Linked DNA regions of Drosophila melanogaster. The gene in region 1 interacts genetically with each later gene. Each region holds a gene or a part of one and is shown in the gene's direction. Other genes may lie near its edges.

What was found. Genes that interact genetically often act in the same process or in processes that back each other up.
Region 2: of PolA1 (region 1) and mei-41, changing one enhances a phenotype caused by changing the other (phenotypic enhancement), as found in Drosophila melanogaster (one study listed by BioGRID).

The regions. Positions count from the first base shown.
Region 1 is NT_033777.3:21,666,014-21,673,405, reverse strand, and holds PolA1 (DNA polymerase alpha subunit 1), read left to right. Parts: upstream 1-1,655; 5' UTR 1,656-1,760; coding exon 1,761-1,776; intron 1,777-1,834; coding exon 1,835-2,029; intron 2,030-2,082; coding exon 2,083-3,101; intron 3,102-3,166; coding exon 3,167-5,727; intron 5,728-5,787; coding exon 5,788-6,266; intron 6,267-6,595; coding exon 6,596-6,792; 3' UTR 6,793-6,844; downstream 6,845-7,392. Other genes in the region: CG31176 (uncharacterized protein), read left to right, coding at 1-46; Jhbp16 (juvenile hormone binding protein 16), read right to left, coding at 6,880-7,153, 7,270-7,392. UniProt on the Drosophila melanogaster protein: Catalytic subunit of the DNA polymerase alpha complex (also known as the alpha DNA polymerase-primase complex) which plays an essential role in the initiation of DNA synthesis.
Region 2 is NC_004354.4:16,390,179-16,394,745, forward strand, and holds the start of mei-41 (meiotic 41), read left to right. Parts: upstream 1-1,519; 5' UTR 1,520-1,582; coding exon 1,583-1,809; intron 1,810-1,868; coding exon 1,869-4,080; intron 4,081-4,137; coding exon 4,138-4,431; intron 4,432-4,505; coding exon 4,506-4,567. Other genes in the region: TH1, read right to left, coding at 1-214, 285-997, 1,114-1,176. UniProt on the Drosophila melanogaster protein: Serine/threonine protein kinase which activates checkpoint signaling upon genotoxic stresses such as ionizing radiation (IR), ultraviolet light (UV), or DNA replication stalling, thereby acting as a DNA damage sensor.

The DNA.
Region 1 (7,392 bases):
CAAGAAGGTCACCTTTAGTGCCTTTGCCACCGTGCAGGTGGTGTGAAGGGCGTGAACAGTGGGTCTAGCATCTGTTGCATCTGTGCAGGCACAGAGCAAGGTAATAACATTTACTTTTTGTTTTTTAAGTATTTTTAAGAATACTCCAGATCAAGATAATTCTTTGATACAAAATAAACTTTAGAAAAATATGAAATACATTTAAGCAAGCAATGTAATTATACTGGAATAAGAATTGCAACCCACTTTATATTCTGATTTAATATAGTTACATAATAACATAGTATAATATTAAACCAATTGTAAACTGAATTATTCATTGATTCTTTTTCTTCTCTTTTCATTTCAGTATCATCTTGCACTTGTTAACGATTATTTCTTGTTGTTTTTATATTTGTTGCTGTTGTTAAATGTTTAGCCAAAACTATGGAAACCATACACGGAGAAAAATTCCTTAAAACATAAAAAAAAAACATAATAAATTGTTGTGCCATGTCTGTGGCTTGAAATAAAAATGAAAACCATATAGAAATGAATAACACACCCCATAGCTAAAGAAAATACCTCAAGGATCCTAAATAACTGCCCTCCTTTATCTTATTTTATCTGCTTTGCTTAACTGCCCTCCTTTATCTTATTTTATCTGCTTTGCTGTACATTCTGGTAGACTGACATTTTAATATCCTTTCTATAGTTCCTCTCGATCACCCTATCCTAAAACAGTATTTTCCATATTTTCTCATCTTCCGAAATCTTTCCTCACCAACACACCCGAAAATAATTGTAAAATATAACGACTGCAAGTGCAGAAATTCTAAATATTTACTATTAAATTGTAAATATGTACGAATTTTTGCTTATAACAATTAAACAGCAAATATAGTCATAAATATATGTATTCATGTAATATGTAAGTCTGTTTTGTGTATGTGTGTATATATATAAACCATGATTTTGCATTGATAATTATATAGGGTATGAAATCACCTTTCAAATCCACACAAATTTTAATCGAAATTGCTGTATATTGTATTTAAAGTATAATATTATATATATCTTATAAGCCTAATATTATGCATGATAAATAAAATACGATTAAAACCAAACAAACTATTGTCTTTTAATTTGGGAATAAAAACATATGACAAGCACATTAAAAGGGGATCTTCATGGAGCAACTGCTAATGGAAAAGTTTTTCTTTTTGTGATCCACTGCAATTAAAAAGCTGAAGCTCGAAAATGTAAAATCTAAAAGAACGCCCTTTAAATGGTGATCATTGTTCTTTCTTACTTGGTGAATTCATTTCAATTATCAGGTCGGATTTCCCGCCAAAATATAGCAGTCATTTTAAATCGCTGTAACTGTTATGTTAACTATTCGTGTTAACTGTAATCGATCATTTGTGCTTACAGATTAGACGCTAACAGTGCCCAGAGCTAACATAACGCGCTGCCACCTATCGATATATTACCACTCAGAAATTCATAAAATAGAGATGTTACTTAATAATAAAATTGCAATTTGGGATTAAGTTATTGTATGGCTTTTATTTTTTTTAATTTCCTTACATTCTTCCTCTTCTTAACGACACTATCGATATTACATTGCAAAAGTCCGGCAGCGCTTTATGTATCGTAGCTCTGTTATCGATATGTTCCCGCCATTCCCGCTTTGATCATCCTCCAGCCCTGGTCACAAAACAATTTTTGCAAACTGCAGCACAACACGGGGAAATTATTATCAAAGTTAGCCAGTTGCAATGTCTGAATCACCGTGTAAGTTAATAAGATAACTCCCTTAAACATATTTTTTACCGAAATTATAAATTTCCAGCTGAACCGCGCGCTAAGCGCCAGAGAGTAGACAAAAATGGTAGGTTCGCCGCCATGGAGCGACTGCGTCAGCTGAAGGGAACCAAGAACAAATGCAAAGTGGAGGACCAGGTGGACGATGTATACGATGTGGTTGATGAGCGGGAGTACGCGAAGAGGGCGCAGGAAAAGTACGGTGACGATTGGATCGAAGAGGGTAAGTTGGAACTCTGAACTCTATACTTTATAATACTAAATTTTAACTTTTAGATGGTACTGGTTATGCAGAAGATCTTCGGGATTTCTTCGAGGACGAAGATGAGTACTCCGATGGGGAGGAGGATCGGAAGGACTCGAAGAAGAAGAAGGGTGTTGCCCCCAACAGCAAAAAGAGACCACGGGAGAATGAAAAACCAGTAACAGGAAAAGCATCCATCAAGAATCTATTCAGCAATGCAGTGCCCAAAAAGATGGATGTAAAGACCAGTGTGAAAGACGATGATATCCTTGCTGATATTTTGGGCGAAATAAAGGAAGAGCCTGCAGCGACGTCAGAAAAGGCGGAAAAGGTTATAGCCCCAGCGAAAATATCAGTTACGTCGCGTAAATTCGATGCCGCCGCTGCCAAGGAATACATGAATAGTTTTCTAAACAACATCAAAGTTCAGGAGCAGGAACGTAAGAAAGCGGAGGCCAGTAGCGATAACGAGATGCTGGAGCGCATTCTGAAGCCCAAGGCAGCAGTTCCAAACACAAAGGTGGCCTTTTTCTCCAGTCCTACAATCAAAAAAGAGCCCATGCCTGAAAAGACACCTGCAAAAAAAGCCACCGAAGATCCATTCTCCGACAATGAAATGGACTTTAGCTGTCTGGATGACGATGAAAACCAGTTTGATGTGGAGAAGACACAGCAGACCGAGAAGGTTTCCCAAACGAAAACAGCAGCTGAGAAAACATCCCAAAGCAAAGTCGCCGAAAAATCAGCTCCCAAAAAAGAAACAACTGGATCGCCAAAGGAATCGGAATCGGAGGACATTAGTAGGTTGCTGAACAATTGGGAGTCTATATGCCAAATGGACGATGATTTTGAAAAGTCCGTGCTCACCACGGAGCAGGATTCGACAATCTCCTCAGATCAACAGCTTCGGTTCTGGTACTGGGAGGCCTATGAGGATCCAGTAAAAATGCCCGGCGAAGTCTTCCTGTTCGGTCGGACCGCAGATGGAAAGTCCGTCTGTCTGCGTGTACAGAACATCAACCGTGTGCTCTATCTGCTGCCCCGACAATTTGTGAGTATTATTCTACAAATACTTAGTCCTTAGGTGAAGTGTTGTTTCTGAATATATTCTTTTAGCTCTTAGATCCCATTTCGAAGGAGCCCACCAAGCAGAAGGTGACCGTCGCAGACATATACAAGGAGTTCGACAGCGAGGTGGCAAACCAACTGAAGCTCGAGTTCTTTCGATCCCGCAAGGTCACCAAGAGTTTTGCCCATCACGCTATCGGTATTGAAGTTCCGCAATCTTGCGATTACTTGGAGGTTCACTACGATGGAAAGAAACCACTGCCCAATTTGTCGGCTGACAAGAAATACAATTCTATAGCACACATATTCGGCGCCACCACCAATGCACTCGAAAGATTCCTCTTAGATCGGAAAATCAAAGGTCCCTGTTGGCTGCAGGTGACTGGATTCAAGGTGAGCCCAACTCCCATGAGTTGGTGTAACACCGAGGTCACATTGACAGAGCCCAAGAATGTAGAGTTGGTGCAAGATAAGGGAAAGCCAGCGCCACCACCTCCACTTACGCTACTATCGCTTAATGTTCGCACCTCAATGAATCCGAAAACATCGAGAAACGAGATATGCATGATTTCCATGCTGACCCACAATCGTTTCCATATCGACCGCCCTGCTCCACAGCCCGCTTTCAATCGACATATGTGCGCTTTGACTCGCCCGGCGGTGGTTAGTTGGCCTTTAGATTTGAACTTTGAGATGGCAAAATATAAGTCTACCACAGTGCACAAACATGACTCAGAGAGAGCCCTGTTGAGTTGGTTCTTAGCTCAGTACCAGAAAATAGATGCAGATCTCATTGTAACCTTCGATTCCATGGATTGTCAACTAAATGTAATAACCGATCAAATTGTAGCCCTGAAGATTCCCCAATGGTCTCGAATGGGGCGACTGAGGCTGAGCCAATCGTTTGGCAAGCGATTGCTGGAACATTTCGTCGGCAGAATGGTTTGTGATGTAAAGCGATCTGCAGAGGAGTGTATAAGAGCAAGATCCTATGATCTGCAAACGCTATGCAAACAAGTACTGAAGCTTAAGGAATCGGAGAGAATGGAAGTGAATGCCGATGATCTGCTAGAGATGTATGAGAAAGGAGAAAGCATTACCAAGCTCATATCGCTCACCATGCAGGACAATTCATATTTACTAAGGCTGATGTGTGAGCTCAACATCATGCCGTTGGCGCTACAAATCACTAATATCTGCGGCAATACCATGACCAGGACCCTTCAAGGAGGTCGTTCTGAACGAAATGAGTTCTTGTTGCTGCATGCCTTCCACGAGAAGAATTACATAGTGCCGGACAAGAAGCCGGTTTCTAAACGAAGTGGTGCAGGAGATACGGATGCTACGCTTTCAGGTGCAGATGCGACGATGCAAACCAAAAAGAAGGCAGCCTATGCTGGTGGCTTAGTGTTGGAGCCCATGCGTGGTCTCTACGAGAAGTACGTTCTCCTCATGGACTTTAACTCCCTGTACCCCAGTATAATACAGGAGTACAACATATGCTTCACCACCGTCCAACAGCCGGTGGATGCAGATGAGTTGCCCACCCTACCCGACTCGAAAACGGAACCTGGAATCTTACCCCTTCAATTGAAACGCTTGGTGGAGTCGCGAAAAGAGGTGAAAAAGCTAATGGCAGCGCCTGATCTTTCGCCGGAACTCCAGATGCAGTACCACATTCGGCAGATGGCCCTGAAGCTAACTGCGAACTCCATGTATGGTTGCTTGGGTTTCGCCCACTCCCGGTTCTTTGCCCAGCACTTGGCTGCTTTGGTCACCCACAAGGGCAGAGAAATCCTCACGAACACACAACAACTCGTGCAAAAGATGAACTATGACGTTGTTTATGGAGACACAGATTCCCTGATGATAAATACCAACATAACCGACTACGACCAGGTCTACAAGATTGGTCACAATATTAAGCAGAGTGTAAATAAACTATACAAGCAGCTGGAATTGGATATCGATGGAGTATTTGGCTGTTTGCTCTTGCTGAAGAAAAAGAAGTATGCCGCTATCAAGTTGAGCAAGGATTCCAAGGGAAACCTGAGGCGTGAACAGGAGCACAAGGGCCTGGATATAGTACGTCGCGATTGGTCTCAGCTGGCTGTAATGGTGGGAAAAGCCGTTCTCGATGAAGTGCTGTCGGAAAAGCCTTTGGAGGAGAAACTGGATGCAGTGCATGCCCAACTGGAGAAGATCAAAACTCAAATTGCAGAGGGTGTAGTACCGCTGCCACTGTTTGTCATCACCAAACAGTTAACTCGGACTCCCCAGGAATATGCCAATAGTGCTTCATTGCCCCACGTCCAGGTGGCCCTTCGTATGAATCGCGAGCGTAATAGGCGGTACAAAAAGGGCGATATGGTGGACTATGTGATCTGTTTGGATGGGACAACAAATGCTGCCATGCAGCGAGCATACCATTTGGATGAGCTCAAGACCAGTGAGGATAAGAAGCTGCAGCTGGACACGAATTACTACCTGGGACACCAGATCCATCCGGTAGTCACGCGAATGGTGGAGGTGCTGGAGGGAACCGATGCGAGTCGCATCGCCGAGTGTCTGGGCATGGACCCAACCAAGTTCCGTCAGAATGCGCAGAGGTACTTACTATCTTATTACTCCTTACAAACTCTAACCTAACGAATATTTTGGTTATGTAGAACCCAGCGAGAGAACACCGAGCAGTCGGAGGGTGAGTCCCTGCTCAAGACGACTCTGCAGTTGTATCGCCTGTGCGAACCGTTCCGCTTCCAGTGCGTTACCTGTAAGACGGAGCAGCTGATGGCGTCTGCGTACCGACCGGGTCCAAGCAACTCCCACATAGCCGTACTCCAGCAATGCGCTAAGTCCGAGTGCCAAACGGCACCGATTCAGTACCTGGCAAGCGTGCGCAATCAGCTGCAGCTTTCCATGCGGCAGTATGTGCAACGGTTCTATAAAAATTGGCTGGTCTGCGATCACCCGGATTGCAACTTCAACACCCGCACACACTCCTTGAGGAAGAAATCCCACCGCCCGCTGTGCCAAAAGTGCAGGAGCGGCAGCCTGCTGCGTCAGTATACGGAGCGGGACCTGTACAATCAGCTGTGCTACCTGCGATTCATGTTCGACCTCGGCAAGCAAACGCTGCAGCAAAAACGTAAGTAAATACAATGTAGTTATAAGCAGTATCAAAAACTAAAACAATAGTTTGTGTATAAGAACAAAATGAAGAATGTGGAGTACGAGAGAGAAATATCGACACTAAATAACAAGACACATGAAAGGAAAAATCAGTCGAAATATTTTATAGTTCCCGTGATCTCGACGGATTTCAGTAGTTCTTTATGCTTGTATCCTTGAATTCTTAAAAATTGTTGTAGTTTATATATTAGTTCTGACACCTAATACATATATTTCCCTTAAGATTGGTATCATTAAGTTTTACAGCATTTCATATTGAAATTATATTTTGTCCATATTATCAAGCCACCCTCACACCGGAGCTGGAGCAGGCCTATCAACTCCTATACGAAACGGTGGATCAGCAGTTGCAGAGCTCCTCCTACGTGATCATCTCGCTAAGCAAGCTCTTTGCCCGATCCCTGGCTCAGATGTCCCTGCAACCGTCCGTGGCGCAGCCCCAGATCGAAGCAATTCCGAGTGCTTTGGCGGATGTGGTCTAAGTGTTTAATTAACTAGCCTTTGTTATAAGTTCCATTAAAAATACTACAAAAGAGATACAGAGATACAGTATGGTTAACTAGATGAGGTCACGTGGCGAGGAACTTCTCGAGCGGAAAGTGCCGGAAGGACTCGTTGAATATATCCGTAAATGCCGTGCTAACCAACTCGTTAATCATCGGCTTGATGAAGGGCAATCCCAGCTGCCACATGCTGTTGATGACTCCATCGGCCAGTTGGTTGAGGGGCTGTCCCTGCAGCAAGTTCTCAATGTGCAGCTCCATTCCGCCGATGCGGTCCACCTCCACATGGACCTTGATGAGTGAGCCCGGACCGCCGATGCGCCTAACGCTGGTGGTTTGACTGAGGAAGTAAATAAAGTGAGCGATAGGTTGTCATGTAAGCCAAAAGCTATCAACAATACTGGTGTTTGCAACACAGCTTGGGAAATACATATTTCCATGCAACTCGGTGCCCACCTGTAATCGTAGAGGGTGAGGTTCCAGTGGCCTTTTCTGTTCATCTCAGTACCCAGCATCTTGGCGGCGAACTCGTACTCGCCCTCCAGACTTTTGTCGGGGAAATACTGAGTGTAGACGATG
Region 2 (4,567 bases), on another chromosome or scaffold:
ACGAAAGAGCGCGTCTACCAGTAGCTCCAGAAACTGGGGGTTTCGTATCAAGTCGATGGGCGGTGGATCGGAACCGGAGTAGTTGCGAAACAGCACGGTGATATCGGCGGGATTCAGTGTATTGCGGGTGAGCATGGAAGTTAGGGCTTGACATGCTTGCGGATAGACTGCCGAACCATTCAGGGCCATTGTAATAGGCGTTACATTTTGATTGCTAAACAATGAAGCAAAAGAAAGGATTTATGTTATGACTAACTATGTGGAATCGTCAGTTATTTTCATACTTCTGCAGGGCGTATTTAATAATTTCCTGAGAGAGCCGCTTCATGTTGAACCCACCCTTCTGCTCCTGGCTGAGGACCTGGATGAGCACCTGGGAGTATACGTAAGTGTGCTGGCCATGGCAGACCATTCGTGCGCACTCCTGAATGGCACCGTGCACATCATCCGGATTGTTTAGAAATTTGACGATCGAGGTCTTTAGAACCCGCGAGAAAACCTCAATCTGCTGTGCCGCTGTCGAAATGGAAGTGATCTCGCTCTGGAAGCCCGCGTCCGAGATCAACTTGATTGTAAAGTTCAGCATTAGACAATCGGGATATTCTTCGGCCAGTCGGTAGATTAGCGAGCGCCACGTATAGTGGTCGATCATCTCGGTTAGCCAGTCGGGCGTCTCACCCTCCTCCGTGAATATGGTGTCCGCCTTCTTGGGATCGAAGGACTTAAGAATCATTTCCTTGAGATGATTCTCCACCATGGCCTGGACTTCGGTAACCTTGACGCCCGCCAGGATGAGCCATTCCGCAAGCAGGTTGGCCATCTGGGCCACCGCCTTGTAGTTCTCGGATAGCATCGATATAACCTCCTCCGGAGATCCGCCCGACTGAAAGTAGCGCTTCAGCTGCGTAAATATCCCCGGCTCCATGATGTAGTCCGGTGTGAGGAACTTCTCCAGGCATTCCTGTATCGTCTTCTGCGGATTGTCCTCAAGCGTTTCCTTCGATTGGGATGGGATAACATGATGTTTAGTTGTTATTTTTTATGGTTTATCTAGTAGCGTCATCAAATTGCCGGGATTGCCTGCCACGCCGTACACGCTCTATACTCAATTACCTCCGGATTGGTTTGTCCTTTGGCGCGGCCCTGCCAACCAGAGTCGTCGTATTCCACTTCCATTTTTTCTCAAAAACTTATTTACAATAACATAAAAATATTTTTCTTATTTTGATTAACTATGCATTTTTAGTGTGACTGTAAATTGTTAACCACGACGCGCACACCTACGCGGGTTATGCGCCGTTTACACTTAGCAAACTCTTCTGTTAATTTCATATTATGCAATGTAAATCTTAAATTTGAGGAGAAAAAGAAAATTGTCAATAAGTGTAAAACGCGGTAATGTAAACATATATTAACTAATTTTTTTTTAAATTAATATATGTAAAATCGCAGTTGGAACGTGGCTGTTATTCAAGAAAAAGAAGAAGAAGCTGCCAAACATATCGATAGCCACAAGTGCGGCGAATGCCGGCTTTCGTAAACAAAGGTCGCGTTTTTGCGAGTTTTAAATAAACTTGGCAAAATGTCGACACAACGGAAGGATATGTGGAAGTTGCTTTACAACCACGTAAACCGGAACGTAAGCAACTTTTCCGGCGTGTACAGCGTTATAGAAGACATATTGTGCCAGGAGCCGAGTCTGATAAGCTGTTCGTTGGTGCGGGAGCTGCACAACAAATTCCAGGACACATTCCTACTCTGGCTGCTCAACAAGCTGGCCAAGTGCCTTAGTGAATCTCCAGATAGCAGGTAAGATGAGCCACAAGCATTGGACTCCAAACTTATGACACACCGTTTTTCTGCTGCAGCGAGTGCATCAATCTTCAAAGGAAAATACTGAGCTCCTGCTGTTCCAATCATCCTAAGCTTTTTGAACGCCTTGTACTGGCCTATGTGGAAGCCATTGAGGAGACGCACCTTCAGCTAAGTTCCCTGGACCTCGGCCAATTGAGTAATGAGCGAAAACCCGCCATAACTGTAAGAATATTCCGATGCGATGTGGAATGCCTGCAGGAGTTCGATCCGCACTGCGCTATCGAGGACATCAAGGTGCCCCTTGAGCAAGCCGACATGTATGCCAAGAGCCTGCTGGAGGTCCTCCAGCATGCCCATCACATTGGATACGCCACGCACGGCGACATCTTCTCGGGCAGCCTTCATCAGGCTCTGCTAATCCTCAAGGAGTGCGACATGGACACAAAACTGGCCAGCTTGAATTACTGTCACAATGTCCTACGATCACAGTCGGCCAGCAGCTGGATAACAAATCCGGACGTTGGACATTATGCGCAATTAACGTTGGAGGCGACGGCAATCATGTGGTCGGCAGTAGCCAAGTGGCTGGACATGGGATGTATGACGCGCCAGGAGCTAAAACGGCTCAATATAACAACAAAGCTACTGCTAGAAGTTCTGCATATGCGTGCACGTCCAGCCCACCATCTTGGCTACCTGCTTTTGAACGAGATCCTTAGTTTGCCGACAGCCATTGAATTGGACGATGGACTGCTGGAGACCCTAAGTTCCTATATTCAAGGCCAGCTAGAGCATTCGGTTGTACCATTGGAGCAACTGGTGCACTTGCAGCAGCTTATGTTAAGCCATTGGCACTGCCACCCCACACATTTGGTGCCCATATTGGCGCTAATGGGCTTGAAACAGACTGAGATGCGCTCAGGAGTGGTCCAAGTGCTTACCCAAAGTCTCGTTGAAATCTTGAAGAAGGAAGAAGTATTGTCGAAGGATTGGCAGAAACTGATTGCTATTTTACGAGGCTTCAAGCAGCTGGAGAAACTAATTCTGTCACAGAGTCAGCATAAAATAGCTGAGCACGAAGGTCACATCGATTCCTCAGTTCTGGCCATGTTACCGCTGCAGTGTGAAATCATAAAGGTTGCGGATACCAATTGGAATAACCTTTCAATGCAGCTGGTTGAGCTGGAATCAAAGTGTTCCGCAGACCGAAGACACATACACTTGGAAATCTGCTCCCTTTTGATGCAAATCACCTTCATCCGGCACTTTTTAAAGACTCAAACGCAACACCAGCTGCTGGCCATTCTTCAGCGACATTTGAAGCTGTCCTACCTTTGCGCCATTCGCTTGGAGACACCTTCTAGTGTTCATACCCAAATGCAAAGCTTCTATGCCCAGCAGTACATGAGGCTATTTCAATCCGAGGAGACACAGGAGATATTCTGTAGCAACCTTCCGCAGTTGTACATATCGGGTTTCATAAAGCCGGAGCAACTGATGAAAGCTCTGCCCACCATTAACAATCGTAGTGGCCGCGCTCAAGTTATACGCCTATTGCTCTGCTCCCAGCCAGGTAAATTGAGTGTCTTTAAAGTCAAAGATCGCATTGAGCTATACTGCCCGAAATGCAGGCCACTGCCAAAGAAACTGCCAGGTATTTACCTCGGAAAATGCAAGCAACAGCTGCCATGTCCAGACTTTTCAAGCACCAACCTCGAAATGATAGCAAATGATTTATTGTTTTATCCCGATTTTGAATGTATTGCCCAGCATCTGGACCTTCTGTGCTTTGAACCCAATGTGATTCTTGGCCTGCTAAGAGAAACGGAGGCACTGCAAAAGGTTAGCGTTAAGGTTATCGGCCAGCTGGTCTCTGCGATGCGTGTGCGTTCGCCAGAATTCTTGGAGCAATTAGCCAATCTTGTTCTAGCTGCTATAAAAGCAATGCTAGCAAAGCCACTGACAGAGCAAAATGTGCTGCAGCAAAGAAGTATGCTCAACGTACTGACCGCCATTGCGCACATGGAGGATAATGAAATCTGGCTCTTTCACTGGTTCAAAATGACATTCTTCTTTCTGGTGCACACTCGCTCACTGGTGGCGCAAGAAGCTGTGCTGGCGGCCACCGAGATGTGTGCCAGCCAGGGTCTGCAGACGATTCATCTGTGGAACTGGTACAAGCGAGATGCTCTCGACCTCACCGTTCGCCTGGCTTTGAACGTTTATCTTTTGGATGGCGTACGCTTCACCCGATCCCTCCGAGCGGTGCGTAAATAGACGAACTTTTCTTCACTTCCCAAAATTTGACCGGTCTGTTTGCAGCTTACGAAAATGTTGGGATTCACGTGCGTTCAGGAGTTCACCTGCAAGTATCATCGCCTTCTGACTGCCATGGTCCTGCCGCATTGCATCGTGAATCCGCTTTGCAAGGGAGTTTTGGTATTGATAGCCAAACAAATGCAGAAACACATTGGCACCTTGTTCTCCATCTCGTTCCTGCGGATCTACACACACGTCTTCCTGACCGAGGAACCGGAGTTGGCCAATAGTTGCATCGAGCTGGTGGTCAGTTGCACCCAGTCCAGCCTGCAACAGCTAATGAATGCGGATGTCAAGGTGGGCAGAAGTTAATTTATATTTTATTATTTTATCTTTTATTTTATTTTATTTGATTTGGTTATCACTTGTAGCAAACGGTGGCCGAGTTGCTTATATATTTCAACCGAAACCCCACATTCGTGATGCGATCCTT